Oryzias latipes: one gene and its partners. The protein of the gene in region 5 interacts with the protein of the main gene of each other region in a pairwise test. Links are inferred from orthologs where the notes say so. Each region holds a gene or a part of one and is shown on either strand. Other genes may lie near its edges. The genes, in order: kcna4, fam69b, casp7, lnx1, sat1, hoxb9 and dmrt3.

Region 1 (3,720 bases), on a different chromosome or scaffold from region 5:
CAAAATGAGCATCTTGCCTACTTGCATATTTGAAACCAGGTGGTAAATTTCTATTTATTCTTTTGTTTTTGTTGAACTTTTGAGGTAAAGCTCAACACGTCTGGTATTATTTTTGCAGTAGCTTCCCAAAACTAACCTTCCTTCATTTCTTTGAGAGATGCAGTAAAGTTTTAGAGTACGATCGCATGAAATAACCCTCCTTTATCTCATTCAGAATCCATTATGTTGTAAATTTTTCCTTGTTTAAAGCTTCTCTTATTTTACTGTTCAAGGATGAAGAGCGCTAAGAGTTTTGACGTTTTAACTGAGTACAGGATATATATTTGACCACAAAGCCACAAACTTGTCATGCAGCCTTTGCTCATGTGAACTCTTCTTTGGCTGAAGCTCAAAGAGAAACGTTCCTGCTTCAGCAGATGGTTGTAAAAACATCCTACTTGTGCCAAATTCTGCAAACACACACACACATAGTCTCTCCCCTCTTTTCTCACACACAAAGTAAGTTATCTAGTAAAGTTAATAAGAAGCTAAAGCAAGAATTCTGTTGGAAGACAACCCTGATATGATTCTTTTTCCTCTTTTCTCTTTCCTTTTATTTTGGAGGTTTAAAATACTTTCATCAAGCAAAAACAAAATCTCATTAAATTACAGTGTTTGTGTTACTTTAGACAGAAATGCAGCTGGGATTCTGCAAAACCTCTTATCAACAGCCAAGAGTATAAAAACGGTGTCAGTGATTACTCTGAGTGATGTTTTTTTTTTTTTTTTTTTTTTTAAATGAAGATAAAAAATGGGGTTCAGATTGTGTATTAATGAGCTTCAGAATTATGAGGTGTTGCTTTTTTTTTTTACAAAAGTTTAAGTACAATTCCCCTGAAGTTGACCTGATGTCATCATGGATGAAATAATTGCCCCCGTTATTAATGAAAAACGCTGTGATATTGTTGCAAATGAGGTCTGAGGGTAGCTGTAAAGTTGCACAGGAGAAACATTAACTGATGTTGGCAGGAATGTGCGTCATAGTCGTCCAGCGTTCATATCGTGTTTTACACACGGTTACGCACGCGCATCCATGCATCTTTTTCTTCTTTTTCTTTTTTTTTTGGGGGGGGGGGGGGGGTCTAAGAGATTACCAAGGTAGTGGAGATACATCCAAGGGCGAGAAAATAACAAATGCATTGCATGGATTTTCTTCAAGTGGTTCCTGTTTTTAGAGGCTTTGTTTGTGTGTTTTGTGTCAATTAAAAAGGAGTAAAAGTCACATACCTTGGAAGACATCCTTATTCCGCTGGTTTTCTGAGCCATGTACGCTTGTGCATTGACTTGAGAAAAAAAATTGCGCGTAAACTCTCCTTGAAGAATTTTCCACAACAGTCGTTTTTGCTATAATCTTCCATCTTGTAAAGGGATACTGTCACTTTGAGGTGGTTTGAATGAAAGTGGAGGAAAATGTAAAAAAAAAAAAGGTGGGGAGGGGTTTGTCTCAAGGCTCCAAAAATGTCCAGATGACCTGCAACGAGTCATTTCTCCAGCCATAAATGATGATGAATGTGCTTAACTCTTGTCATGGTGATGATTTACTTTAGTTTAGGATAGGAAGGGGATTTTTTTTTTAAACTACGTATCTCAATGTAGCCCTGACTCATTTAAAATAAAGCCTCTTTAGAAAGATATATAACAATTATGGATATATATTCATATTTTAAGTGTTGGAACAGAGATAAAGGTAGTTCTTCTGTCTTATTTTCTTCTTCAATGGAGTACAGTTTGGTAGGGTTTAAACGCTGTTGTTTTCTATGTTACTTTGCTTTTTTAGAAGTTTCTCTAACATTTTTCCGTAAAGTTATTCCTAAAATGTTGCCAGCATGGCCTACAGTTTTCTGTCTCTACAGGAACTTGCCCCAAACCCAGCGCAGATACTAATTTAGTGCAAACAAATGATAACTTTATTGCATAACAGCAAAATGATCGTCCCTACCCCTCGGATGTGACAAAAAAACTCATAAAGTGCGAATGCATAGCCTGTCTCTTCTGTGGAACTGGACTTAGATGTTAGAGTTGGAAGCCCGCAGCTCAGATGATACAATATGGTTCTGAAGTTGGTGTTGAGGAAAAAAGAAAAAGAATGGAGCATTTTCCTGCCACTGTGAAAGGGGTGGATGAGTGCGTAAGAGGGGTTGAATGGAGCGTAAAAGTTGAGGGGTAGTCACCTGATGCTGGGCAAAAAATGTCTTTTCAGAAAAAATCACACGTCTGTCTGAATAGATTTAGAGTTAGTGCTGTTTTTTCTGCTTATGTCTGTGCCGTTTCCTTTACTGGGGCTCTTGTCCAACCCGCATAGCGATTCCGTCAGCCCTTCCTCCATCTCCATGTACTCCGCTTTATCCCCCAGCGAGGAGCCCGAGGGCGAGCCTTTGAATTTCCTTAGAAAGTCGGGGAAATACGGACATCCTGGAGGCATGCTCTCCACCACAGGTGTCTGGTCCTCGTTGTTGTCGGTCTCCCTGTGGTAGAAGTAATTGAAGTTGGACACTATGACAGGCACCGGGAGCGCGATGGTTAACACACCCGCAATCGCGCAGAGGGAGCCCACTATCTTCCCACCTACGGTGATGGGCTTCATGTCTCCGTAGCCCACCGTCGTCATGGTGACCACGGCCCACCAGAACGCGTCGGGGATGCTCGTGAACTGAGAGGTGGGCTCGTCCGCCTCGGCGAAGTACACCGCGCTGGAGAAAAGAATGACACCTATAACTAGGAAGAAGATGAGAAGGGCCAGCTCCCTCATACTGGCGCGCAGGGTGTGACCCAGGATCTGCAGCCCCTTGGAGTGCCTGGACAGTTTGAAGATGCGAAACACCCGGACGAGGCGAATTATTCTCAGAATAGCGAAACTCATCGCCTGCTGGCCGTTGCCCTGGTGCTGCGCCAGATCCGTGCCTAGGGTGATGAAGTAAGGCAAAATGGAGACAATATCTATGGAGTTCATGATGTTTTTAAAGAAAGCGGTCTTGCTGGGACTCGCAAAGAAGCGAACTATAAACTCAAAGGAGAACCAGATGATGCAAACGGTTTCCACGATGAAAAAGGGGTCGTTGAAGGGCGTAAATCCGTGGTCGGGCTCAGAGGAGTTGTCCCGCGGCTGCAGATACTCCTTCTCATCCCTGAACTCTGGCAGCGTCTCCAGGCAGAAAATGACTATGGAGATGACGATGACCAGCACGGACACCACGGCGATCCCCCGGGCAGGGCTGGAGCTCTCCGGGTACTCGAACAGCAGCCAGATCTGACGCTTGAACTCGTCCTCCGGCAGAGGCTTCTCCTCCTCCTTCACGAAGCCCTCATCCTCCCGAAACTTCAGGATCGCCTCCTCTCCGAGTTCGTAGAACTTCACCTCCTCGGAGAAGATGTCAAACGGGACGTTGGCGGGTCTTTTTAGTCTCCCCCCTGACTGGTAATAGTAAAGAATGGCGTCAAAACTCGGCCGGTTCCGGTCGAAGAAGTACTCGTTCCTGAGCGGGTCGAAGTATCGGATGCGCTTGTCGGGATCTCCCAACAGCGTGTCCGGGAACTGAGAGAGAGTCTTAAGCTGAGTTTCAAACTTCAGACCCGACACGTTGATGACGACCCTCTCGCAGCAGCCGCACTCACTGTAGGCGTTCTCGTACCCGGACTGGGGCCGCCTGTCCGTGATCGACACGGTCTCCTCATCCTCGTCCA
Region 2 (4,236 bases), on a different chromosome or scaffold from region 5:
CGGAGAAAACCCACGCATACATGGGGAGAACATGCAAACTCCACACAGAAAGGTCCCCCATTGATGTAGTTTTTCATGTCCCCCAGCCGGGACTTGAACCGGGGGCCTTCTTAAATTAAAAGCATAAATAATTAAATTAAAAAAACACTTTTTTTTTTTTTTTTAAAGAAATACACTTCCACATGTTTTGACATTTGTCAGTTTTGAATAAGATTACATATACATATTTAAATTTCAGATACTTTTAAAGTCAAAAAGAGTTTTGTCCACATGTTCAAGTTTGTTTGGTATTTAATCCTTAAAGCCACATGCTTTATATTTGTTTTTGATTCAACCAAAGCCATCATTTCTTCCTTTTACAAAAAACAAAATATATACACAACAGGAAGTTTGGTTCACAAAAGTAAAACAAAAGATGGCAGGATTATAAAATGTAAACGTAAACATTTGAAGTACAAGGGACTAAAATATACTGTGGTTGCTTTTCAGATCCGAGCATAGAGGATTTTTGCTGACTTACTGGTTTGATTGGACCTTTCAACCATTAAAATATTCCATGGACCACCAATGGGCTACACATGATGCACCCACTACCGTGCTTTACGGTTGTAGAGATGATGCCTTCCAGAAGTCTAACAACATTTTCTATAATATGTATTTATATATTTTTGTGTGTTTAAAGTTTGCTTTCTGCTTAGTTTTAATTGCCAACTGTGGCCCATTTTTAGGCATTATGTTAGTTTGTAGGGTTTTTTCCTTTTGTCAAATTCATTTTGTGTCTTTTTTTGTTATGGTCATACAAATGTTTAACACTTGAAAGCAAGAAAAATAAAAAGAAAAAATCATTTATGTTTTACTTACTTTTTTTTTTTAGAATAGAGTGACTGAAAATGTAAATAATTATGCAATTTATCTAAGTTGCATGCAATCGCTGGCTAAGCTCAGCTATAACATTTGACCTTCCTGTGATGCTTTTATTTTTTGCAAAGAATATAAAATGGATTTATTAGTCTCCTTGCTGCAAGGGGTTACTTTAAAAATGATTGTACGCATCAGTGTCTTAAAAAACAAGAAAAAGTCCCCATTGACAGTTTATTTATTATACAATTTTATTTTTGCAGTTATTCAAAAAAAATTGAGAAATTAAATTGTTCTCTATAACTGAGAGAAGAATGCATTAAATTACGTTCATTCCTATTTAGGAATAAAGAACAAAAACTTAAAACTGTGAAATTCTTAAAGAACAATAATGAAGAAATGGGCGGGGCTACATCTACCCGTTAATATACACAAAAATTAAAATAATCTTTTAGTTTACGGGGAAACTGCTGAGATTTTGTGCCCCCCCCCCCCCCCCAAAAAAAACTAAGCTCCTCCCCTTTATGGGCGGTCCAGCGGGGAGGCTGAGTGAGCATCCGTGCATCCGTTTTCATGGCTCACAAGGACGACGCCGCTTTTCACATTCTCGGGCTAAATCTGTCAGTATCGCAGGTGCACGCGGGTGGTACATGCGCAGTCTGATTCCACATGGAGCTGGCGTTCAAGGACGCCCCGGTGAAGGATTTCGAGTGTCCGCGGCGACGGCGTGGGCCGCCGTGATGATGTGACGTGACGGGGATCTTCTCTTGTCGCTCCGCTGCGCCTCTCTGTCGCTCACCATGCCCAGGGCTGTGCGCAGACTGCTGCATCTGATGCTCTTCTGTCCGCTCCACAAAGGCTTGCAGGTACACCCTCCATTTCTCTCAATAATTGGCTCGGTGATGGTGGAAATGACGAGCCCGCGTGACGACTTGAACACATCTGAGTTTGATGGTGTCTGAGCACATGCGTCACTGCATGACATTTCTCCCCAAAATGAAACCCAAACCGCATATTTTGCCTTTCTACCCTCACACATAGTCATTAAAATTCCGTTTCTCTGAGAAATGTTAATATTCGAAATCTTTCCTATAATGCTTGGAAGGTGTCACATAGAAAAAGAAGAAAAAATATACTGGAATGTTTGTTTCAACATAATAAAAGCCAGTTTTTTTTAAATTTATTTAAAGTAATTCAATTAAAGCTGGGAGTTACAGGAAAAGCATGATAGATAAATAACCAGCCTCTCTTTTTAGTTAGATGTGGAAATTCTTGTCAAAAACATTGCATATTCATATTTTGATCGATCTTTAAAGTGTTCCCAGTGTTCTTTTAATCATGATTATGTGTAATTAAATGCCTACAATCCAACCAATTTGTAGGACATAGTTTCTGCTGGATGGAGTTAATTAATTGTGGGCGGGACTTGATGCAGAGCAGGCCCGCCCCTACTCCCCATCATCTCTTTGTTTTCTTTGCTTCACATGATTTATATTTAGAAGTTTGCAATGAACATTTTATTGTTAATATGTTACATACAAACCCAAATTAAATGTTGGCAAAAGTTTTTTTTTTGTCCAAACAGACTTTTTCTGTCATTTCCGGTCATCTAATATGAAAATCACTGTCATTTGGGTGAAATGTATTTATATCTATATAAATAAATTGCAGTAAAATTTAGATGAATCAGTTCATTTGCATTTAATGTTATTATAAGGGTTAAAAAAATGTTTGCCCTCACACACCAAATCTGACCCTCTTTGGAAAAGGTTTGGACGGCCCTGAGCTAAACTGTCAATCAAGTCTTGGTTGTAATTTTGCTTTTGGACAAGAGATTTAACCCCAATTTGCTCTCAATTTGTAATTTTCTTTGGATTAAAGGCTCTGCTAAATGGTAAATGACACCCAAGGTAATAAACAAAATGCATGAACATGTTTCTGTGCATCATCTTGTCATGACTTTGGGTTGTTTTTTTTTTGCTTCTGCCATGTATTTTTTTCCACAGGGGCGTCTTCCAGCCATTAAGGTGAAGTACCTCCTCCTGGCCTGGCTGGGCGTTCTGATCTTCAGCTGGATCGTCTACATGCAGTATGCGTCCTACGCCGAGCTCTGCCGGGGCCACGTTTGCCACATGGTCATTGTGAGTCCAGCTCTAAGCTTTTGCAGTCTCACGGAGCTTGAATAGGAAAATCCGAAAAATCGGTGTTGATGTGAGTGCTGGTCGTTTGAAACAGGAAGTGCCGGTTTATTTTAAGTCCGGAGTGTCGCTTTGTTACTGCTCTGAATCTTTCATCCACAGAGGAAAGACCTGGAGAAGCTAAACTATAATTACTGCAATCATTACAATTAACACCTAGTTAAAATAAATTGATGAGTCCTCATTAATCACATCTGCTCATGTACCGAAAGATACTAACAGTCACACAAAAGAGCATGATTTTAGCAGGACTGTTATAACAATTTTTATAAAATGTTTCAAAACCTGTGTTTGTTTAGTGTGAAAGAACTAAACCCGGAAGGTTTCCACCTTAAACTTTTTATTTATTTTATTTTTTTACAGCTGGAGCAGCTCTAACCTAGCATAAGTGACCTGGTACTTAAATGTAGATGGAGCACCGATTGCCACAGAAACATAAAACAAATGTAAAGCTACGTTCACACTGGTCAAGAACGCGGGTTCTTAAACGTTGGTGTTCACACTGGGCAGTTCTTCGTCTCTGCTTCCTTTACCGTCTACAAGCGTCTGCCACCTACAGTTGGAAGATGCTCGGTGTAAAATGTTGAAGCTGTGCAAAGGGAAGTATTCACACCCACTTCTCATGGAAAGCGGTTGCTTGAACTTGCGTTGCAGAGGGAATGTAGCTTGAAAAGGGAATTCAGGAAGAGTGGAAGCTGTTGTTGCTGTGGGAGAGCAGGTCGTCAGATGATCGAAGGATCGGCGGTTCGATCCCCACTCCCCCCAGCCAACTGTCGTTGTGTCCTTGGGCAAGACCCTTCACCCACCCTGCCTCCAGTGCAGCTCCACTGGTGTGTGAATGTGTATGAATGCCCCGGTGATGGTCAGAGGGGCCGTAGGCGCGAACTGGCAGCCACGCCTCTGTCAGTCTGCCCCAGGGCAGCAGTGGCTACAACAGTAGTTACCATCACCAAGTATGAATGACTGAATAATGGACACACTGTAAGCGCTTTGAGCGTCTGGAAAAGCGCAGAGAAATCCAATCCATTATTATTATTAAGTCTAAGGGCACTTTCACACTGAGCTGTTTGGTCCACACCCGACCTGGTGTGTGTGAAAGCTCACCTGAACCGAACGCAAAGCAACATCAATGGTCTAGTTTACCTCTAAGTAAAGCCTTGAACACTTTAATGCAGACAAC
Region 3 (4,262 bases), on a different chromosome or scaffold from region 5:
CAAAAATCATAACCGCATTAACGTAGACTGAGTGAGACGAAAGCCTCTAGCCGTAGGCTTTCTCACAGACCTGCCATCTTTCCATTCTCTGCAAGACTCATCCAGATCACTGAGCCAATGGTGGCCCGTTAGAGGCTCTAAAAAATCCTGGCTTGTTCCAGAAGAGCCCAGTCATCAGGACACTCGAGCATCAGTACAATACACAACAATTGACTGTAACACTCTCATGGACGGTCCAGCCATATTGCAATAAACATGTGATGCATAAGCCCCCTCCCCTCCAGCCACCTGTGCTAAACAATAGCAAGCTAAGAGCACCAGCGTTGTTATGCGGTGACGGAAAGTAGTCAAGAAGATCAGGAGGCGGCGCTTTCTATCTTACCTGGGTTGATTATCAAGCGCTACTCCGCTCTGCATCGGAAATGCCTTCGCTTTGGATTTTTTTTTTTTTCTATGCCACGGAAAAACAAAACAAAGCGCAGGATTCTCTTCAGCGGGTAGTTCAACTGAAGCTTGTAAGGTTAGGAGGGTGGCATCCTCTCCGCACTTGACGAAGACCTGACTGAGCGAGCGGGAGGCTGCTGAGGACAGGGGCGACGCGCTGCGAGGCCCCTGAGTCAGCAGCCTCACCACCACACCAGTGCTTTCTAAAGGCCTATTCACACTGCCTCACTCACTGCTGGGGTCAGCTGGGACAAAATCTGCAGCTAAAAAAAGTCAAAGAATTCTCTGATAAGCCAATCATCTGGACTTGAATTCACTTTTAGATCCTCTTCTAAAGTCATGCCATACCACAGCATCAAAAACGGCTCAATCATGATACCTTAAGTTATATATTTGTCCACATTTTGGGTCAGTATAAATTAAGATAATGTTTTTTCTGGCGAAAAAAACACAGAATAAAGCTTTAAAATGATATTTAAAAGGGTAAAAGTTGATGACCAAAGATTCCAATATGACTGCAAACACTGTGGACACAATGTTGTTTAGGGCAGAATTGTATACCTTAATTTACAGGTTTAAACAACAAAAAATGCAGGGAATAAGGATTTTACATTTGTTTCCTTGTTTTCATTTTAGTTGTTCAGTTAAAGATCTGTTTTCTGCTCTTTGCCGTAAAACTGTTTTCACCTTTTCTAATTACAAACCTGCAGTTCAAATCTTTGTTCTTTCAGTCTATAATTTTAGTTTACTATTTAAAATTAAAACTGTTTCTATGAAATCACCTTCCAGTCTTTATTTGAAACCTCAAAAACAAGTTTTAAGGACAGATCTACACTTTTCAACACAACCATTTTGGTGTATAGTTTCATAATACACGCATTTATTTTAGTCTTCTTGAAGGTCCCATAGTTTTTATTTTTTTTTATTTTAGGTGTCCAGGTTGATAAATATTCCAATAAAAAGATCCAGAGTGCCACCTTGTGAGGGAGAATGTATCCAACAGGCAGCCAAGAAATTTATACCTACAAGTAAGATTCAAATTTAGCTCTGAGAAATTACTAAAATGTATACACATAATTAAATAAAATAAAAAAATTAATTAAGACTTAGATAATACTTTATTTACCTCCATCAGGAGAAATTTAGCTGTCCGGTACCTACATATATATCAATATAAATATAGATATATAGAGAAATATTTAAAATGCTTCCTAAAATATATTATAAAAATGCCTAAAATCCATTATTATAAGGTCTAATTATTTAAATCAATACAGTAACATACATATACATACATACATACATACATACATACATACATACATACATACATACATACATACATACATACATACATACATATATATATATTATTATTTTCTTGAGCTAACTGACTTTAAAATCATTCCCAAATTCTTTTCAATACTTCAGAGAGCGTAAAAAACTTAGGATTTTTATTTATTTATTTTATTATTCACGCATGCTTAATTCGTCCACAAAGACTTAACGAAAGGATCCAATTAGATTTCTTTACACTAAATGTACGAAATAAAACATTAGTGTGTTCCTTTTATTAACTATGAGATTCTGATCTTTATGGGGATGAAGGAGGCATGTCTAACCAGCAAGGTGAGCTCCAGGAAAAGAAAAGAAACTTACAACGAAAAGTACAAAAGTCATTTTGATTAGAGGAAGAATGCACTTTATATTGCAGGTGGCTTGTTAAGTAATACGTACCTAACTAAATAAATATCTCTAAAGATAGATCAAAATAAATGTATAGAGATTTTGCCTGTTTTAGTTTTCTTTAAAACGAAAACATGAAATGTATAGGCGGAAGTTACCTCCCAAACAGAAGAAATCTCCCTGAGCGGTCAGGTTTGGCGTCTGTCGTGTCCCCCATTGTCAGACTATCATCTCCATCTCCAGCTGTAAGGTCACGTGACTCAGCATGATCCTCTGCCATCTGCAGTAAACAAAGTATTTCATAAATCACTGACATCGAGGAGTAACTGTTGGGAATCCAAGTACAGGCTCTTATATTCTGGACTACCTACTACTTCCGTGTTCATCTTAAAAGACAATTGAAAAACAGACAACTATGAACAAAAACTGGTTATAGTATAATAGATGTTTACATATTTTTCAATAAAGTTTTTTTTTATTGATCTTTTTGCTGTTTTAGCGCGTTTGAGCGTTAGCTAGCTAAATAACTAAATTATAACTGCTACATTTGACCGCTTTTTATCCAACCTGAATGAGAAAAAATACAGAATTATCTTTACTTACGTTTGGTCTTTCGTGTGTCAACTTATTTGTTGCTCTACTCTTGAATTTAGGAGTTTTTCCTCCTCCAAAGGTTCGCCAAAAGCAGTTTCTTGAGCCTGGCAAAAGTGAAACTTGTTAAAGAATGTCTCGTGCGTAACTACGTCACCGGTCAACGTGACTCCGGTCAAAAAAAAAAAAAACTTCATTTTTTTTAATCTATTGGTACATTTACATTAAATTATTGGTAAATAAAATAATTATAAATATGAAACTACGGTCAGTTCTGTTTTTACAGATTCGTGCAATTTTGCTTCTTTGCAACTGTGTTTTTCTCGATAAAGTGAATAAATAAAATCAAAATATTGCATCACTGCCTTCATTATTTGTTTTCTTTAAGTCAATTTAGTTTTAACGCTTTTACAGTTTTTGTGCATATGGCTTTGTTTTTTGATGGGTTCTTTGAGATGCAACTTTGTATAAAAAGTGCTTTATCAATAAAGTTGATTCAATCTCATTCAAAGCCAAAACATTTATATTTTCCTTTAATTTAACATTTAACTTTTTTTATTGATTTAGATTTCATAATCATATTTTTAAAATGTATAAGTGATATTTTAATAAAAAAATATGTATATAAAAAATAATCATCAGAGCTCAGACTAATCAGTGTTAGAATTATTTAACCTAAGTCAAAGAGTTGGAATAAATTGTAATTTAGAGGTTTCCTTTTTTATATTAAGAAAAAGTAGTTTGATCCCTTTAAAATAGTTTTTTTAATGAAACCACGTCCTTGTGAAAAGTAATTATAATTTTGCAGAATTGTGAATAAAGAAGAGCTAAAAGTCTACCAACAGAGGATCGTATTATTTATTTATAGAGCACTTAAAAAAATTAAATAAGGATTAAGAAAAATAGGCTGAAACATAAAAAAGGATAAAAACAAAACGAAGTTTATTGTTTATCATCAGTTTGTGTCATTTATTTATTCATAGAAAACTGGCAGAGCAGTATAAGACTATTGGTTCCTTAAATGATTAAACTCGTGCAAAATAGGCACTTGTGTCATAATGTAAATGCCTGTGAACTAATTGGCCATCTGGGGTTCATTACACAAACACAGTGACATGTGAACGCTCCAGCTCTGTGACTGGAGATGGACAGCTAAACCCAGCCAGTCATGAAAAGCATGGGGGCATTGAGGTGGGGGCCTGATCCGTCATGGGACACGGTGTCAAGTAAGAGGCAGTGTCAGACTTCCAGCCTCATTGCTAAGTTTACCACAGCCAGAGAAACACTAAATCAAGGGAGCCACTTTCTTCTACCAAACCCAAACTTTAAATCTGGACATACATTGGTTGTAATTTCTCACCTTTGCTGAATTGTATTTTTGAAGAAGAACACACGATGCAGTCCTGTGCCAGGTGTGGGTTTGTGGTCTACCCAGCAGAGAAGATCAACTGCATTGATCAGGTAACAAAACAACATTTTCAAATATAATTTAACAGAGGTAGGGCTTGCTTATTCGCTTTACCAGTATGAGAAACCCTCTG
Region 4 (2,580 bases), on a different chromosome or scaffold from region 5:
CAGAGTGAAGGAGCAAACAAAGGCCAGGAGCTCCAAGGATGAGAGCCACAGATGCTGCAGCTTCAAAGACATCATGGGAGAAAACAGAAGGAAAGACAGAAGCTGGAAGCCTGACAGAGTTTCACACAGGTCCATCTAAACACACACTCTAAAAGACACACAGTAGAACTATTAATCAATTGGTCTTTTTTTCTATTTATCTCATCAGCAGCACTCAGGGAAGCTGCAGCAGGAAATTTGAAGATAGGACCATGGTAAAAGATGCAAAAAGAAGAAAAAACAAGACGTAAAAAAACAGCTCCACAACAGACTGTGCTGACCAGGAAGAACAATGAAATGTTCCTGATTTAACAGGAAAGAATGACTTTGATGTCATTTTACAATGCAAACAATTATTTGATCTTTTGAACATTTTTGAAGACTAAAGTTGATTTTAGAGGAAAACCTCATGAGTTTTGCAGAAAGATTTTGTTGCTTTGCTTCATGTCTTTTGTACTTGTGTTGTACTTGTGAAGATACAAGTGAAAAGTTTAAACCACACAACAGGTTTTGGAACAGCTTTATTAGTCTTTTATGGTCATGTACCATCAGATAAACTACACAGGCCGAAGCGTGACAAACAGAACCACAGGAGATAGACCATCCAGTGATGCACAGGAACAGTTATAGCTTTTTCTTTCTTAAAAGTAAGAAACTTTGTAAGGCCTCCACAATGTCACCTAATTAAATGTCACTTCAACATGTTAAGAACACATTGATCCTTTTATGTTGTCATAGACCTGCTTTGCCAATTGTTTTCTTTATTAAGAATAGCTTCTGAGAAAACAGAAAAACCTCACAGACTAGTACTTGGCAACGAGTCTTTAGTTTAACAGATGAGAACCACTGTCAGTACAAACAGAATAAAGCCTACGTTTGAAGGCCATACAATAAACCAAAAAAAACATATTACAAGTGATTGGACTGTTACTGTTTTCAACAACCAGCATTTTTACAGTACATAAAGAAATGTGAGTCCAACTTAACACATATCCTAATATATCTATTGGAGTTGGCAACAAGTTGTCTCCTCTTCTCCTCCCAGCCCACTCACTGGATGTTATTCCAGACAATGACAATGTTCTGTAAGTAAATAACATCTCGCAACATCCCATTCAGAAAAGTGGCAGGCTTGGATCCTCCCATTTCAGCATTCCTGGAGGGGCAACTTAAACTTTTGCTCACAGTTCAGTTTTGTTTTGATCACCCTCCCAGATTCTGGTCAAATCCCTGAAGAGAAATCAGTGTCTGCCTTCCTCTGTCCTTTTTCTCTCTCCAAGAAGTCTAAGGACAGTCTGCCGATGCAAGCTCTGCCTCCACATCCCTTGGTCATTATCACAGAAGCAGTGCAGGGAGGCTGGGGTGCCGTTACAGCAGGCTGCCCGGCCAGGAGACAATGGTCAGAGTGATCCTGCCCCGAAGCTCCTTCAGGAGGCGAACCAAGGCTGTGTGGGTCAGGCCCCAGGTGCTCTTCCCATTCACCTCCAGTAGGATGTCCCCGCATCTGCAGAAAAACAAGGCAGAGTGAAACCCTAAACGTTTCACTCATGCCAAAAACATTTTTGGATGGGGGTCACCTCAATACCTTATTCGCCCGTCGTTGTAAGCAGGTGTTCCTTCAACAATGGAACGGATAAAAAAGGATTGATTGCAGTTCATTTCTTCCTGACCCCCCACAATGCTGAAGCCCAGGCTACCCGACGTGTTCCTCCGCAGAACGATGTCTTTGCAGTAGTACAGATGTCTGCATGGGAGAAGGGGGAGAGCATAAATAAATGTTTGACACTTAACACTTGTTTCTTTTTGTTTTTTAAGTTTTTTTGGTATCTAGATTTTTCTTTGTCAGGTCCTGAAAATAAGGTCAATAAAATGTTGACGTACCAAACATTTAATTTCACAAGTAATTCATTACCCCCAGACTGAGCAAAAATGAAAAACAAATCTGAACAATGGATGGCAAATGTATGTATTTATTATACTTTTAGCAAATCCCCCCCTCCACAGTTTTTAAAACACCTTCCCTTGGGGTTCTGGCATGGGAATATTCTTAAAGGAACAAAAGGACATCTCTTTTGCATCTGCTTAAGTTAAACTTTGGACTTTACCTGAACCAATGAAATGTCTTACATTCTGTTGTGGGCTTGCCGCTGAGCAAAGCCTCACTTTCATTGAAGCTTTAGCCAAGGACATTTAGCCTCTGACTCTTTCAAGCTCCCTTCGGCTGCAATAATCTTTTGGCTCCTCTTTGACTGATAATGTGAGGCATTTTGGTTCTCAGTTTTGTTTAAGGACTTTGCTCCTTTGGGAGTTTTATCAAATATCAAACTTTTTTTTAAACTACCCAAACAGGGAGGCAAAAAAGTATTTGTCAGTCACAAATTTTGAAGCATAAAAAGCTGATTCTTGTCTGTAATGTTCATCCTAGAAACACTTCATTTGGCAGAGAAAGAATGTAAAAAAAAATCCAGGAAATCACATTGTTTTGATTTTCAAAGATTATATTTTAGTCCATCAGATCTTCTCAGGAACTGTTGCTTGAAA
Region 5 (4,396 bases):
CTGGTTCAAGTCCCGGCTGGGGGACCAGAACCAGAACATCAAAGTTGGGCCTTTCTGTGTGGAGTTTGCATGTTCTCCCCGTGCACGCGTGGGTTTTCTCCGGAGACTTTAGCTTCCTGCCGACGTCCAAAATCCTGCTTCATGGGTTCCTCTAAATAGTCCCTAGGCGTGTGTGTGAGTCTGCATGGGTGTGTGATTGTGGCAGCCTGTTGATTGTGGGGGGTTATCGGCATTGTTTGTCGTGTCATTTTGTTTTTAAATTTGATTATATTTTATGCAAAGCACTTTCAGTGACATGAGTTGGAAAAGTGCTATATAAATAAAGGTTGAATTGATTGGATACTGTCCAAAAACATGCTTCATAGGTTAATGTGTGTCTCTGGATTGCCCCTAGGTGTGTGAGTGAGTGAGTGCATGGCCCTGAAACAGACTGGAACTTGTTCAGGGTGTCTCCTGCCTTTAGCCCAACAGTAGCTGGGCTAACTCCAGCTGCACTGTGACCACAAAAGGGATTCAGCTGGTTCTGAAAATTGAGGCACGATTCTTATCCATTACAATGCATCAAAGTATATAACACAATACAGAAACGGCAGGTGGGATACATATGTTACGCAGAAACACAAGGCCAGATATTATCTCTCCAGCTTGACCTGAATCTGCGGCTGGAAATACCTGTATGTCCACCAGAGCAGGATTGTTTACTAGCAAAAATAAAACTTTATATGAATTTTTGTATATTTAAATGGAAAGATATGTAAGTTCCAAACAGTGTACTTTTATTTAACAAGAACTGGGTAAATTAATAAACAATTGAATAACTACATTTTAGAAACAAATCAACTTGAAAATAAGACATCTACTAAAACTCATATATTTTTAAAATGTATAACTTATTTTTAAATATCTACCCAAGTGCATTTGGTCTGTGGTGTGTGGTAATGGCTTGCTGAAGTTTTCTGATAGTACTTTTAGTGTGCTGTTGTTTTCACCACAGTGGTTCACTGCTGGAAGATCTCAGTAGTTTCAACATAAACTTAAAGAACTGAGTCAAACAGACACAATAACTGAGAGGAAATAAAATCAGTTGTATTCTTCCATACATTGTTTTGGCTTGTCGGGCAGCTCTTTACCTGCAGGCCTCTGTTGTTTTCTGACCTAAAAAGACAGTCAGCCCAGCCCCTCCATCACAGACTTGGGAGGTGGAAAATTCCACTGATGTTGATTACAGGAGTCACTGCTGGTTTTGTTCTGACTTTAAACTTTTTCTTGTTGCTGTTTGCTTGATATATGTCCTATTCTATTTATGGATTCTAGAGTAAGTGATTCTTCAAAGAAAATTACTTTAACAGTCTCTTTTCCAGAGCACACATATGTAATGTCGCTGCGTATCAGCCTTTCTGCGGCCGCTGATTGGATGAAAACTGACCGCAGGGTGCCGCTGATTCGCCACAGATGAGGGGGCTGCTGGAACTGGCCAATAGCGTTCGAGCGCGAGCCGGGTGTATAAATAGTGTTGAAACAAAGGGAAGGAGTTAAACGGCAGTGACCCAGCCGAGGGTGAGCGCAGCTGAATGATCTTGTCCCGACAGACGCGTCCGGACCAGAGGCTGACTGTGGGGATAAAGCCACTCTGACGCGAATGAAGAAACTTCTCATCTTCCAGTTCACATACAGAGGACTTTTGACTAAAGGAAAAAAAGGGAAAAGAAGAAAATGGAGTATAAATTACGAAAAGCAGAGCCCAAGGACGTGCCAGACATATTACGACTCGTGAAGGTACGTAGATATAACGTCAACTACTATTAGAAAACAAAACAAAAAAAACCGGTCTGAACTGGACGCGCTTGTTCCGGTTAACGAGCCCTTTCTGCTGACGTCACGTTTCCCGCTTTGGAAACGTGTCGTCGACGGATAAAAAATACGGGAACTTTTTAGGAGAAGTGTGTCTGACAGCTGATGGTGAGACGGGAGGAAGGTCGGCAGGATGTCCGGCCGGCAGCTCAGCCCGGCGGCCTTTGTTTTTCAGCCAGACGGCTGGTGACCGAGTTAACTTCCGCCTCTCCATATATGGCTCTTCCGCCCGGCAGCTTAGCTTCTTATGGAGGCTGACCTCGGAGAAGTGTTATTATATGGTTGTGTAACGGCCGACCTGACACAGATACACACGTTTGACACAGTAACGCAGCTGAGGGGATGTCAGAATTTACAAACACAAGAAAAAAAAAACAACTAAAAACCGGAACAAAGAAGGAAATAAACGGCGCTTTTTGACACAACTTCATAAAAGCGGAAGTTGAAAACTTATCTGCCTAACCCGTTTAAAACTCTGCTGCAGACATAAAATACAGTACAAAGCAGCTGTCTTTAATAATAATCTCCAGCAGAAAACAAACTTTTATTTAGTGTTATTTGTCATTAGACGACGTCTTTGTCATCTGTGGAACATCCTGAGTCATCACTTTTTTTGGCTTCTGTCATGAACTTTTCTCTGGAAAAGTCTGCTCTCAGAATGTTTTTATCAACGCTCTGCTCTCATTCCAGGAGCTTGCTAAATACGAGGAGATGGAGCACCAGGTGGCGCTGACGGAGAAAGGTGAGTGTCCGGCGGCGTCCGCCCGCACGCCGACAGACCGTGTTTGATCATCGCCTGCTTCTGTGCAGATCTCCTGGAGGATGGATTTGGTGAAACGCCGTTTTACCACTGCATCATCGCTGAAATCCAAGGAGAGAGCAGCAGTGAAGGTAGGCGTGTGCCGCTCTGCTCAGCTTCCTGTTTGTTGGCAGGAAGAAGAGCCGCCGCCGGCTGCAGTTTGGGTTTAGTCAGACGTGTCGGCTCACGTGTGCTCTGGCTGGAGGCTCAGAGCAGCTGCAGGTCTGTGAAGGTTTCCTCCCTGCAGAATGGCCGGTGACCGCTGTCCCCCCCCTTGTCCCCATACAGATCCTAAGGTGGGGGGGTTTGCCATGTACTACTTCACCTACGACCCCTGGGTGGGCAAGCAGCTCTACCTGGAGGAGTTCTACGTGATGAACGAGTACAGAGGTGAGAGCAGCTCCTCCTGTCCTCCGGTGGGTCCCGAGCATCCCTGAACTCCTGTTGTCTCTTCCAGGTCTGGGGATGGGCTCGGAGATCCTGCGGCACCTCAGTGACGTGAGTTCGATTCCTGCTGCAGCAGCAACTGTTGATCGTTAACAAAACCTACAGTGTTTTTTAATCGATACCTTTTAGAATAAAAATATCACTTCTTGTAACATTCAAAACAAAATATATAAACATTGTTTTTTCTTATGAAATCCTGTAATGAAAAGACTCAGAACGTCTGTCTGCTCCGTTCCTCCTGTTGACTGCATGATGCTTCTGTGTCTGACTCATGAGCTGAGGCCTCCTCCTCCTCCTCATGTGACCAGCTGCTCTAACGTCTCCTTCTCTTGCTCCTGGTCCAGCTGGCGATGAAGACGCGCTGCACCGGCATGATGTTCGTGGTGGCGGAAAACAACGCCCCGTCCATGCAGTTCTACAAACGCCGCGGCGCGGAGGACCTGTCGCAGGAGGAGGGCTGGAGGCTCTTCAGGTTTGACAAGGACAGCCTCCTGAAGATGGCCACTCCAGCTGAAGAATGACAGGAGGTCCAGCAGGGCGGCGCAGGAGCAGGAGGAGACCCAGGAGTTCCAGCTCCACTCCCCTCTGCGCAGATGAAGCATGCAGATGTTTCGCTGTAATGGTTCTGGTGCAACACCTCTCTCTGATTTCTGATCTGAACTTTCCCACCAATAAAGAAATTCCTGATCTCAGAAGCTCCAGCCTTTCTGCTGTTTGACAGATCCGCTCATGTTCATGCAGCTCTGGACGTCCTCAAACGTGGACCTGCTCATCCGGGTTGAAGATGAGAACCTGAGCTCAGAAGAAGAGCTTTGAGAGGCAAACGGGGTCAGACTTGACCTGAAGGCTGAGTTTTAACATGCAGGCCCGTTAGAGGATTGTGTTAAGAAAATGTATTTCCATACTCATTATTTTCCATGTATTTATTTAAAGTCTTGGAGTTTGTTAGCTTAAATCCTATTATCATACCAAATCATAGTTTGTAGGCATGCTGGCTGGATGGTTTTTATTATTTTTAGTCTGGTGTTAACATGGTCGTTAGTCTTTCAGTTGATGGAACTGTAGACACTATATTCTTTGTTTTTCTTCAATGACCCTGGCATGCACTCGCACTTGTCTGCAGCCGCTCAGCTTCATAACAGCACTCAGCTCCCTGGGAGGTGAAGGCCGCAGACATGCAGCCGTGAGGAAAGAAAGGCGGAACCTCCAAAACGCTTGAATGTAACCGTTGTCTGTCTGCTCCTTGCTTGCAAGTAAAGCTTGAAAAGATAAACTTTTGAGTCTTATTGAATCTTTTTG
Region 6 (4,134 bases), on a different chromosome or scaffold from region 5:
CGGGGAGAAGCGAACATCAAAAAGGGAACGTAGAGGAAAACGGCTTCAGAGAGCGAGCCCCGAACACAGCGTTTGTGATTCTTTTTCCCACACTGACCCCCTGGCAGGACCCGACCGCCTGTTGATAAACTGACACTCCAGAATTATGTTTGCTGCATTCTCCGACTGCGTCTCAAATTGCTGCCATCGGTGGAGAACCAAAGGACACAATGTTCCTACAGCTCAAGGCCCGAGGTGTCCTGAGCTCCAGCAGGAGCAAAGCATCTCAACACGAGATGGAGCAGAGAGAGGTGTTGAGATCTTCTTCCATTCTGTCTCACAGCTCATTCATACAGTTTTAGTTATGAACTTTCTAGATTTATTTCTTCAGCATTGCTGCTAAAGGATGAGCTGCTATTGCAGTCATGAGGGAGGAAATCACAAACACATCACAGCCAGACGGACTTTGACTGATGGAAATAGATATTTATAATATTTTATTGCCTTTATGGTGTGTTTGTCTGGGTTTTTGTTTTCTCCTGTGGACATTATGTTTTTAATGTTAATTTTGAGTGTTGTTTTGAGTTAAGATCACATAAAAAAGCATAAAAGGGCACTGGTTTGTCTGGACTCTTACAAGATTTAATAAATGACTTCAAACTGTTCTATTGATTTCTGCTGCATTCAATCAGCAGGTCTGTAATATGTTCGCCCTAAAGCGGTTTTAGGAGAGTGAAATGAAAAGAAAAAAAAAACTTTAAAGCGCCACAGCCCTCAGCTGCGTGAGCTACAGGATTTCTGATCAGACCTGCACGGGCGTCTGTTGCATTCGGCATCTGTTTGGCACAAAATGGCCGTCTGCTGGAGATTAGAAACAGCCCGAGTTGCACTTTGGAAAGAGTTTGTTTTTGCCAGATTGAGCAGAAGGAAAAGCGGGAAGAAGCAGCAGAGTTAAAGAAAAAAAGCAGCGAGAAACTGAAGCGGTGACGCATGCGCAAATTAGGAAATTATTCTGAAAGATGTGAACACATTTTTTAGAATCACTTTTAAAATTAAAATTATTTATATACACAACCTATTTTTTAAATAAATCACTAATGTTTTGAATACGAGTGTGCTTCGAGATAATAACACCGGACTAGTTTTAAAAATATAGTGATAAAATAATAATTTTCTTTATTCAATTCCTAAAAAGTTATATCATCAATCAAGCAGGGTTGAAAAACAGAAAGCTGATTATTTATCAAGAAAGATTTTTTTAATTCAGAGCGTCTCCCATGTTTCCCAGACAGGACTCACGCGCACGCCTGCATCAGGCTGAGCTCGGATTTTTGTTTATCAACTGCTTGCAGTTTTTAGAAGCTCAGAAGGAGACTCGTGTTTAATGCTGCGAGGAAAACGCGCGCGCCCACAGGGACAAAAAAATCAAATGCCAAAATAAACTGCAGAAGAAAGCATGAGCGAGATAAAGAAGCAGCGTGCAGCACAACAGTTACATGGTTCGGGTGTCGATACAGAGACTCTGTGATCGCTTAGAGTCCCGCACTCAGGTTTGCGTGTCGAGGCAGCGCGGGGCCTGCAGGTTCACGCGGGAGGTTAATGAGTCAGGGGACCCGAGCTCCCTCGGAGAGCAGCCTCTGCTGCACCGTTCTCTCCTCCAAAAATGCCACTTCTGCGTTCGAACCCCACAGAGAATAAAGACAAACTGAAGACCGGTTCAGAACTCACGCATGCACCTTACTATGTCAGCTTTCCATCGGAACCCGCACGCGCAGCTCGGGTCTCCATGTTTCACCAGCTTTTGGTTGATAATTGTCCCGTTAAATATAAATATCGAACTCTCTGCTGGACTCTCGCCAAAGAAATCAGTCATCTGGAGACGCACATCCCACTCCGTCCTAAGTCAGTGCAACAGCAACATCCCATAATATGAAGGCATAAAATGGCCTTTTTCTGTAATGTACTTCTTCGCTTTCAGACACAGAAAAATCACCACAAACTCGCTTTAACGTGAGCTCGTGAGCGCGTGAGCCGCGGCTGCTGCGCTCAGCTCTCCTTTGTTCCTGTTTTATGGCTGCATTAAACGCGTTTACAATCTCCATCCGCGCGCTCGCGCTCCCACGCGTTTTTCCCACCTTGATAACTTACTTTGATCCGGGCCGTCTTTGTCCTCGCTGCCTTCACATCCCTCCTTACTCTCCTCGAACCCCCGGCCCGGGACGGCCGCCGGGTGGAGGCTCAGTTCGCGCGCCGCCGTGGACACGGGGTCCAGGATGTACGTGGTGGTCTCGTGCGGGTGCTGCACGCTCACTTTGAGCGGGATGTCCCCGCCTTGGTGTCCCAGCTGGGGCTCCAGCTTCACCTGCCCGGTTTGGCTCTGGCCCGAAACAGAGTCCGGGTCGCGAGGAGCGGCGTCCAGCCATGAGCGGAGATAGCGCGTGTCCGCCGCGGGAACATGCTGCGCCGGGAGGTACGGGTGGTAGACGGCGGGAAGAGCGCCGGCGCCGTGGTGCGGGCTGAACGGGCTCCACGACGGTGAGAAGACCGGGGGTTTGGGCTGGAAGCTGCAGGACGGGTACGAGTCAGAATGAGGATGCTCCGCATGTGCAGCGGCCACGGGCTGCCTGACGCCCGCGGCCACTGAAGAGTTTGGAGAGGAGTACTGGACGGCGGAGAAGCGGGCCGGACCGGAGAGTTCATCACTGTCGTGACTGATGATGGAGTCCACGTAATAGTTGCTGAGGGTCCCAGAAATGGACATTCTCGGACATTATCCGCGTGCAGCCGCGAGTTTGTTAAAGCAGAAGAAGAGGGACATTATGAGATTTACGTCACTCTTTTCTTCTTTTCTTCTGCTTTGCTGCCTTCCCCCCTCTCTGACTCTCGCTCTCTCACTCTCTCACTCTCTAACGCTCTCACCCCCCTCGTCACCCCCCTCCTCCCCAAAGACTCTGTGACCACAAACAAAATGTTCCAGTTTGCAGCCGCGCGGATTTGTCCATTTCACGCAAACTCATTCACGTTGCCTTTGAGTCTGACCCCACCCCCATCCCCTGCACCCACGTGTGTGTGAACCTGAATGTTGAGGAGGTTCTTGTTTACCTGAATAAAGCCCTAAGAAGTTCTTCAGACTACAGTCCACCTGCAACAAACGCGGGAAACGCTCATGGCCGCAGAGCGGTTCTGCTGCTTCTGATCTGCAGCTCCAACAGTCTATCTGCAGAGTGCGCGCGGTGACTCCTGAAGTGCTTGCTCATGTTTTACTTTTCTTTTTTGGGAAGTTTCTCAGCCGCTTACTTTAACAGGCGGATTAACAATCATCTTCTGTTAACGAGCGCCATTAACTTAACGCGGCTCCCGCGCGCCCTCAGCCCCTTTCTTCGACTTCATCCACTTTTTGGGGGTCCATTTAATACCACAATAAAATCCCACACAGGGGCGGCTGCTTGAGTTTTATAGGCCTTATATATGACTCATGGTGGTGCGGACGGAGCAGCGGCTGCCTCTCTTTCCGGCCGCTGGAGGAACGCAGGATCAGCGCTCTGCTCCTCCGCGCTGGATCCCGATCAAACTATAGGTTTACACTCTTAATGTGGACCCGAAAAGCATCATGTACCGGAGGCGCCCGGAGTCTGACGTCACCGCGGCTGTAAGTCTCTCTGTTTGTTTGTAATTATGACAGACATGCGCTTTTGGACTCTTTGGAGGCCATAAATCCGGTCTGCACGTTGCATATGCAGCTACAGTTATTTACGACGTGTAAATATGAACTAGATTGCTCATGGGGGCTAACGGTGTTATTTACGAGGATCAGGGAAAGATGAAGCGAAGCTTTCAGATCTGCTGGTAAAAAAAAAACTGGATTCAGGGATGAAAAAGAGAAAGAAAGGCATTCAGATGGCATTCAGTCAAGAGGCAGCAGCGAACCAAGATCCAAACTGACGGTTCTTTCAGGACCAGGACCATGGAGCCAAAGCACGAGACACTTTCTTTCAGAAAAAAAGAAAAAAAAACCCGCTTTCAAATCAAAAACAAACTCACAAATAGCAATCCAATGTCCTCAGTGCATTAAAAAAACAAATATTATATATTATATCATATATTATACCCTAGAATAGAATAGAATAGAATAGAATAGAATAGAATAGAATAGAA
Region 7 (4,383 bases), on a different chromosome or scaffold from region 5:
AGCAGCGGGGAGCCGCGGAACACCGGGGCTGCAGGGCCGAACGGGGCCCCGTAGTGCGCGGCGGGGCGCAGCTGGTACTGCTGCTGCAGGGCCACGGGGCCCCACAGGGCCACGTCGCTGTGCACGAACGGGCTCTGGCCGCGCGTGAGCGAGCTGCGCAGCATCAGCGGGTAGCGCGTGGGCTGCGGGAACGAGGAGTGCTGCAGCGGGAGCGCGCCGGAACCGGACTCGGAAGTGAAGCGGAGGGAGTCCGGGACCCGGAACGCGGAGCCCACTGACCATTTGGCGGGGGAAGGGTGGTACGAGCCCAGCGCGTGCTCGAACAGGTGTCCGTTCGACGGCAGCACCAGCGCGTCTGCGTGCGTGTCTGCGTGCGTGTGTGCGCCCCCGTCAGAGCTCCGGCTGGACAGCAGGACCTCGATGGCCCCTACCAGGTCCCCCCCGCAGCCCCGCAGGATCAGCTCCAGAACCGGCGGCTTGTGGGCGGGAAAGATCTTCTTCAGGACCTCCAGGGGGGGGCGGTTCGCGCGGAGGCTGAAGGGCAGACTGATGGAGCCCCCCAGGCCCTCGATCAGTACGCTCGGTTCCGGGCTGGGGGGGCGCTTCTGCGGGCTGCCGGCTTTGGCCTCCTTCTCGCCGGTCCTGGGGAGGCTGCAGCGGCCGTCCTCCGGGAGCGAGGGGGGGTCTGACGGCTCCGGTGTGTAGCAGGAGTTCGGTTTGGAGCCTTCGGGGGAGCTGGCGGGGTCCTGCTCCTTCTCACTGCACGAGCTGCCCCCGGTCTCCGCTCCTGACAGCTCCTCCGTGCCGTCCTCTGCCGGGTCTGCATGGGGGGAGAACCGGTATCAGACACCAGAACTCAGAACCACTGATCCAGAACCGCATGCAGACATCATCTTCTTCAAACGGCAAATAAATCTGCAGAAATATTTTATTTTCTTCAATACAGATTTTAAAGAGAAAAAGATTTTTTAAAGGTTCCTGCAGAGAAATTTAGTTTTTCTTTTATGCAGAAAAGAAAAAGAAAATAAAGTTTTTTTCTCAATTTTGTATCCAGATGATTAAATATATATATACTAATTTTAAATATTGCTGATGCACGTTAAAAAAAACAAATAAAGCAAAATATCAGGTTTTCGTTTGAACATTAGAATTTAAGAAACAGGAATATACGAGGAAAAAAAAGAATGAAAGTCTTTTTTAAGCCTCAAACTCCATTCATTTTTGTCCCTTTCTGGGGTCACGGGGCTGCTGGAGCCTATCCCGGCCCTTCGTGGGTAAAGGCATGGGACACCCTGGACAGGTCGCCAGTCTGTCGCTGGGCCACGGTCACACACACACACACACACACACACACACACACACACACACACACACACACACACACACACACACCTCGGGGCAATGCAGAGTAACCAATGGACCTATGAAGCATGTTGAGAACACACATGCACGGGGAGAACATGCAAACTCCACACAGAAAGGTCCCCCCACCGTTCAGGTCCCCCAGCCGGGACTTGAACCAGGGGCCTTCTGGCTGTGAGGCAAGAGGCTAACCACTGCCACCCTGAGCCTCAAACTCTGGTTTTTAATTTAAAGTATTGAAAATACTTTCTCAAAAACATTTGGGTATTAAAGTCTAATCGTGTTAATAAAAGTTATCTTAAATAATAAAGTCAGTTTATTTTGTTCAAATGGATCTTAAAGCACAAATTGCGTTAATTACTTATTGTTTGTGCCAGTTAAAAAAATTAAAAATCTTCAAATATGAAAATTCACGCGCTGCAGTTTTTCTGAAAAAACCCTGAAATTAAAGAAGTTTATCTTTTAATTTGTCTTCAAATCTATATAGTTTTGGTCAATAAATGAAGTTTTCCATGAAACACGTCACTAAAATGTTCTATTATCCAGTTGGGTTCCACTTTAAGTGACGTTTTAGAGCCAAGGCAACGTTTTGGGGCCCCATTTGGTCTCATTTAACCTGAGTTAAAATAACCCGGGAAAAAAGTCGGTCCCTATGAACTTGGGTTATTTTTAACTGTAGAGTTTATTTTTTTATTCAGATGATTTTATGATTGACGCGGACAAACAAACAGGTGAGTTTTTCTCAAAGAAGCAGAGCCTCACCTGAGCACGCCTGCGCTCCCGCGCGCGGCTCCGCGCCGCTCCACCGGAGCTCCTCGGTCCTCGGCGGCGCCCCGGGGCTCTCCTCCGCGGCCGCGCTCAGGCCGATGGCGGGCAGGGCCCTGAGGGCCTCCGGGATGAGGCTCTCCAGACTCTCGTTGGCCTGCTGGCGCCGCAGCGCCACCTGCGCCGCCATCACGCGCTGCCGCTCGATGATCAGGATGCACTTCTCGCACGTGCAGTCTTTGAAGCGGCAGTACCGTTTGTGTCCCTTCAGCCACGAGAGCACGCCGTGGTTCCGGCACCGCGCGCACTTGGGGGTCCGCTGCAGCGGGGCGCGCGGCTGCGACACCGGGGCCCCCATGTAGAGGTACGGAGAGCCGTAGCCGTTCATGGCGGGGCGCAGAGTTGGAGGCGCGCGGCGCGGTGGAGGTGTTAATCTGCGCGGGGGGAGTGTCCGCCTGTCCCGCGTTTCACGGCGCAGATAAGCATCACGCAGACACGCTCCTGTGGGCGCGAGTAACCAACTGCTGTCACGCGCGTCAGAAAACACTAGAGACGAAACGCGCGCAAAGGTCCCCCGTGGTCACGTGACGCTCATATTCAAGGGGTGGTTGGGGGTGGGGTGTAATAGTGGGCGATGAAACATAACCCGGGACGAGGTGGGTTATTTCTGACCGTAAAAACGGTTTATCCAAGCAAATAATAGACCCACGGAGGAAAAGCGAGCGCGCGCTACCCGGAGAGTCCGTCTGCGGGGCGATTAAGCTTTTAATTGGGGGGGGGGGGGGGGTGTTCAAGGTGAGCACCGGCTCTGCAGTCTGAACCCGTCCGACACCGATGTGGGAGTGAAAGTCTGAGCGGCCCATAAACTTATCCATCAGCGCAGCCGCACGCGCATTGGCGCGCGAGCGCATCGCCAAAGCAACTTCAAGGTTTTAGATATTTTATATTCATTTTTTTCATATCAAAATATCTATTTTTTATTTTGACATTTCTTCTTTTAAATTTCCACACAGAAAAAGAAAAGAACTGAGATTCAAAGCTTCTTTTTCTATGAATGAAGCAGAAACGACACTGAAAACCCAAACGTGATGGTCTCCTCCGTTCATTTGCTCTTATTGCAGCCACATTAATGCCTCCTTTTTAAAAAAAAAATCATTTACAGCATTTGGAAAAACGCACGAAGCCAAATTAGTGTTTGATGCTGCAGAAAACAGAAAGACGGTTTTCATAAATCTGTCATTTAAAAAATTCTTTTGAAATGTTTTGCAAAATTACAGAATTCAAATATTTGTGTTCTTGACGTTTATTTTAGTTTGTGTTCTATAAATTGTTGATTTCTGTGTGAAATAAATGTTCATTTCATTTGCTCATTTTTGGATTTAAAGCTCAGCTTGAATCTTGAACGGGTTCAGGAGCCGAAGCCGCCCGGCACCGCGGTCCTTCCGCGCTCTGGGCCCATCGTCCCTCATCCCTCCTTCAGAAAGACGTTCCTGCTGCTCCAGAGAACCGCAGAGATCCAAGATCAGGGAGGAAACCGAGCAGCAGAGGCCTCAGTGGAGCCAGCTCAGGTCAGAGGTCAAGGCCCAACGGTCAAAGAGGAACAAGAGGAACATCTGGACTGATGTTCTAATGAGACACAAGAGGAACGTCATGGAAGGAGAGCTTCCCAGAACATTTCTAATACTGTCATGGTGAGGCACGGAGGGGGGAGTGTGATGGTGAGGGGGGGGGGGGGGGGGGGTAGCTGGAGCCGTCAATGAGGTCCGACTTTCTCACTGTTTGACATTTTCACTTCCTGCACGGCGCCACCGTCAGTCACAGTGAGGCATCAACGCTTCATGTGTTTTAAATGAAAATGGTCACATGCTTAGAAGCCCCGCCCCCTTTGCTACTGACTCATTTCCTGCCATCGGGGGGGGGGGGGGGGGGGGGGTCTGACCTCCGCCAGAGCACACTATTAGCTGCTGATTGGGGGCTGAGCTCCTGTCAGAAATTGATTTAGCCCTCCCTGGGGAGGCGGCACGCTGAGCAAAAACATTTTATTTTGGAAAATTTAGGAAATTTATCTTGAAGTTTATTTAAGATCAAGAATTGTTGTTTGACACAAACATAATTTGAATATTACGTCATTTTTTTTTTAGATTTTGGCAGACAATTGGTGTCAAAACGGCCCAAGAGACACATTTATGCAAATCACCATCATTCATTTCATAAACATGTTTTTATTTTCTCTCTAATATAATTACATTTCATTAA

What was found.
Region 1: the proteins of sat1 (region 5) and kcna4 interact in binary tests that used the Homo sapiens proteins (3 or more experiments, as listed by UniProt). The link is inferred for Oryzias latipes from reciprocal best matches to the Homo sapiens genes SAT1 and KCNA4.
Region 2: the proteins of sat1 (region 5) and fam69b interact in binary tests that used the Homo sapiens proteins (3 or more experiments, as listed by UniProt). The two-hybrid records come from large-scale screens. The link is inferred for Oryzias latipes from reciprocal best matches to the Homo sapiens genes SAT1 and DIPK1B.
Region 3: the proteins of sat1 (region 5) and casp7 interact in binary tests that used the Homo sapiens proteins (3 or more experiments, as listed by UniProt). The two-hybrid records come from large-scale screens. The link is inferred for Oryzias latipes from reciprocal best matches to the Homo sapiens genes SAT1 and CASP7.
Region 4: the proteins of sat1 (region 5) and lnx1 interact in binary tests that used the Homo sapiens proteins (3 or more experiments, as listed by UniProt). The link is inferred for Oryzias latipes from reciprocal best matches to the Homo sapiens genes SAT1 and LNX1.
Region 6: the proteins of sat1 (region 5) and hoxb9 interact in binary tests that used the Homo sapiens proteins (3 or more experiments, as listed by UniProt). The two-hybrid records come from large-scale screens. The link is inferred for Oryzias latipes from reciprocal best matches to the Homo sapiens genes SAT1 and HOXB9.
Region 7: the proteins of sat1 (region 5) and dmrt3 interact in binary tests that used the Homo sapiens proteins (3 or more experiments, as listed by UniProt). The two-hybrid records come from large-scale screens. The link is inferred for Oryzias latipes from reciprocal best matches to the Homo sapiens genes SAT1 and DMRT3.

What each region holds. Positions count from the first base shown.
Region 1 is NC_019861.2:9,905,612-9,909,331, reverse strand, and holds the end of kcna4 (potassium voltage-gated channel subfamily A member 4), read right to left. Parts: coding exon 2,246-3,720; 3' UTR 596-2,245; downstream 1-595. UniProt on the Homo sapiens protein: Voltage-gated potassium channel that mediates transmembrane potassium transport in excitable membranes. Forms tetrameric potassium-selective channels through which potassium ions pass in accordance with their electrochemical gradient.
Region 2 is NC_019870.2:6,335,151-6,339,386, forward strand, and holds the start of fam69b (protein FAM69B), read left to right. Parts: upstream 1-1,374; 5' UTR 1,375-1,658; coding exon 1,659-1,724; intron 1,725-2,864; coding exon 2,865-2,999; intron 3,000-4,236.
Region 3 is NC_019877.2:5,359,591-5,363,852, reverse strand, and holds the start of casp7 (caspase-7), read right to left. Parts: upstream 2,879-4,262; 5' UTR 2,734-2,878; intron 2,411-2,733; coding exon 2,289-2,410; intron 654-2,288; exon of another isoform or gene 418-653; coding exon of another isoform or gene 383-417; intron 1-382. Other genes in the region: nrap (nebulin-related-anchoring protein), read left to right, coding at 4,117-4,182. UniProt on the Homo sapiens protein: Thiol protease involved in different programmed cell death processes, such as apoptosis, pyroptosis or granzyme-mediated programmed cell death, by proteolytically cleaving target proteins.
Region 4 is NC_019862.2:756,976-759,555, reverse strand, and holds the end of lnx1 (E3 ubiquitin-protein ligase LNX), read right to left. Parts: intron 1,784-2,580; coding exon 1,625-1,783; intron 1,544-1,624; coding exon 1,408-1,543; 3' UTR 546-1,407; downstream 1-545. Other genes in the region: fip1l1 (pre-mRNA 3'-end-processing factor FIP1), read left to right, coding at 4-129, 209-290.
Region 5 is NC_019878.2:2,835,646-2,840,041, forward strand, and holds sat1 (diamine acetyltransferase 1), read left to right. Parts: upstream 1-1,506; 5' UTR 1,507-1,713; coding exon 1,714-1,776; intron 1,777-2,541; coding exon 2,542-2,593; intron 2,594-2,661; coding exon 2,662-2,742; intron 2,743-2,938; coding exon 2,939-3,040; intron 3,041-3,107; coding exon 3,108-3,148; intron 3,149-3,441; coding exon 3,442-3,618; 3' UTR 3,619-4,370; downstream 4,371-4,396. UniProt on the Homo sapiens protein: Enzyme which catalyzes the acetylation of polyamines. Substrate specificity: norspermidine = spermidine >> spermine > N(1)-acetylspermine. This highly regulated enzyme allows a fine attenuation of the intracellular concentration of polyamines.
Region 6 is NC_019866.2:24,161,834-24,165,967, reverse strand, and holds the start of hoxb9 (homeobox protein Hox-B9), read right to left. Parts: upstream 2,910-4,134; 5' UTR 2,741-2,909; coding exon 2,128-2,740; intron 1-2,127. UniProt on the Homo sapiens protein: Sequence-specific transcription factor which is part of a developmental regulatory system that provides cells with specific positional identities on the anterior-posterior axis.
Region 7 is NC_019867.2:1,173,569-1,177,951, forward strand, and holds the start of dmrt3 (doublesex- and mab-3-related transcription factor 3), read right to left. Parts: upstream 2,884-4,383; 5' UTR 2,516-2,883; coding exon 2,125-2,515; intron 821-2,124; coding exon 1-820. UniProt on the Homo sapiens protein: Probable transcription factor that plays a role in configuring the spinal circuits controlling stride in vertebrates.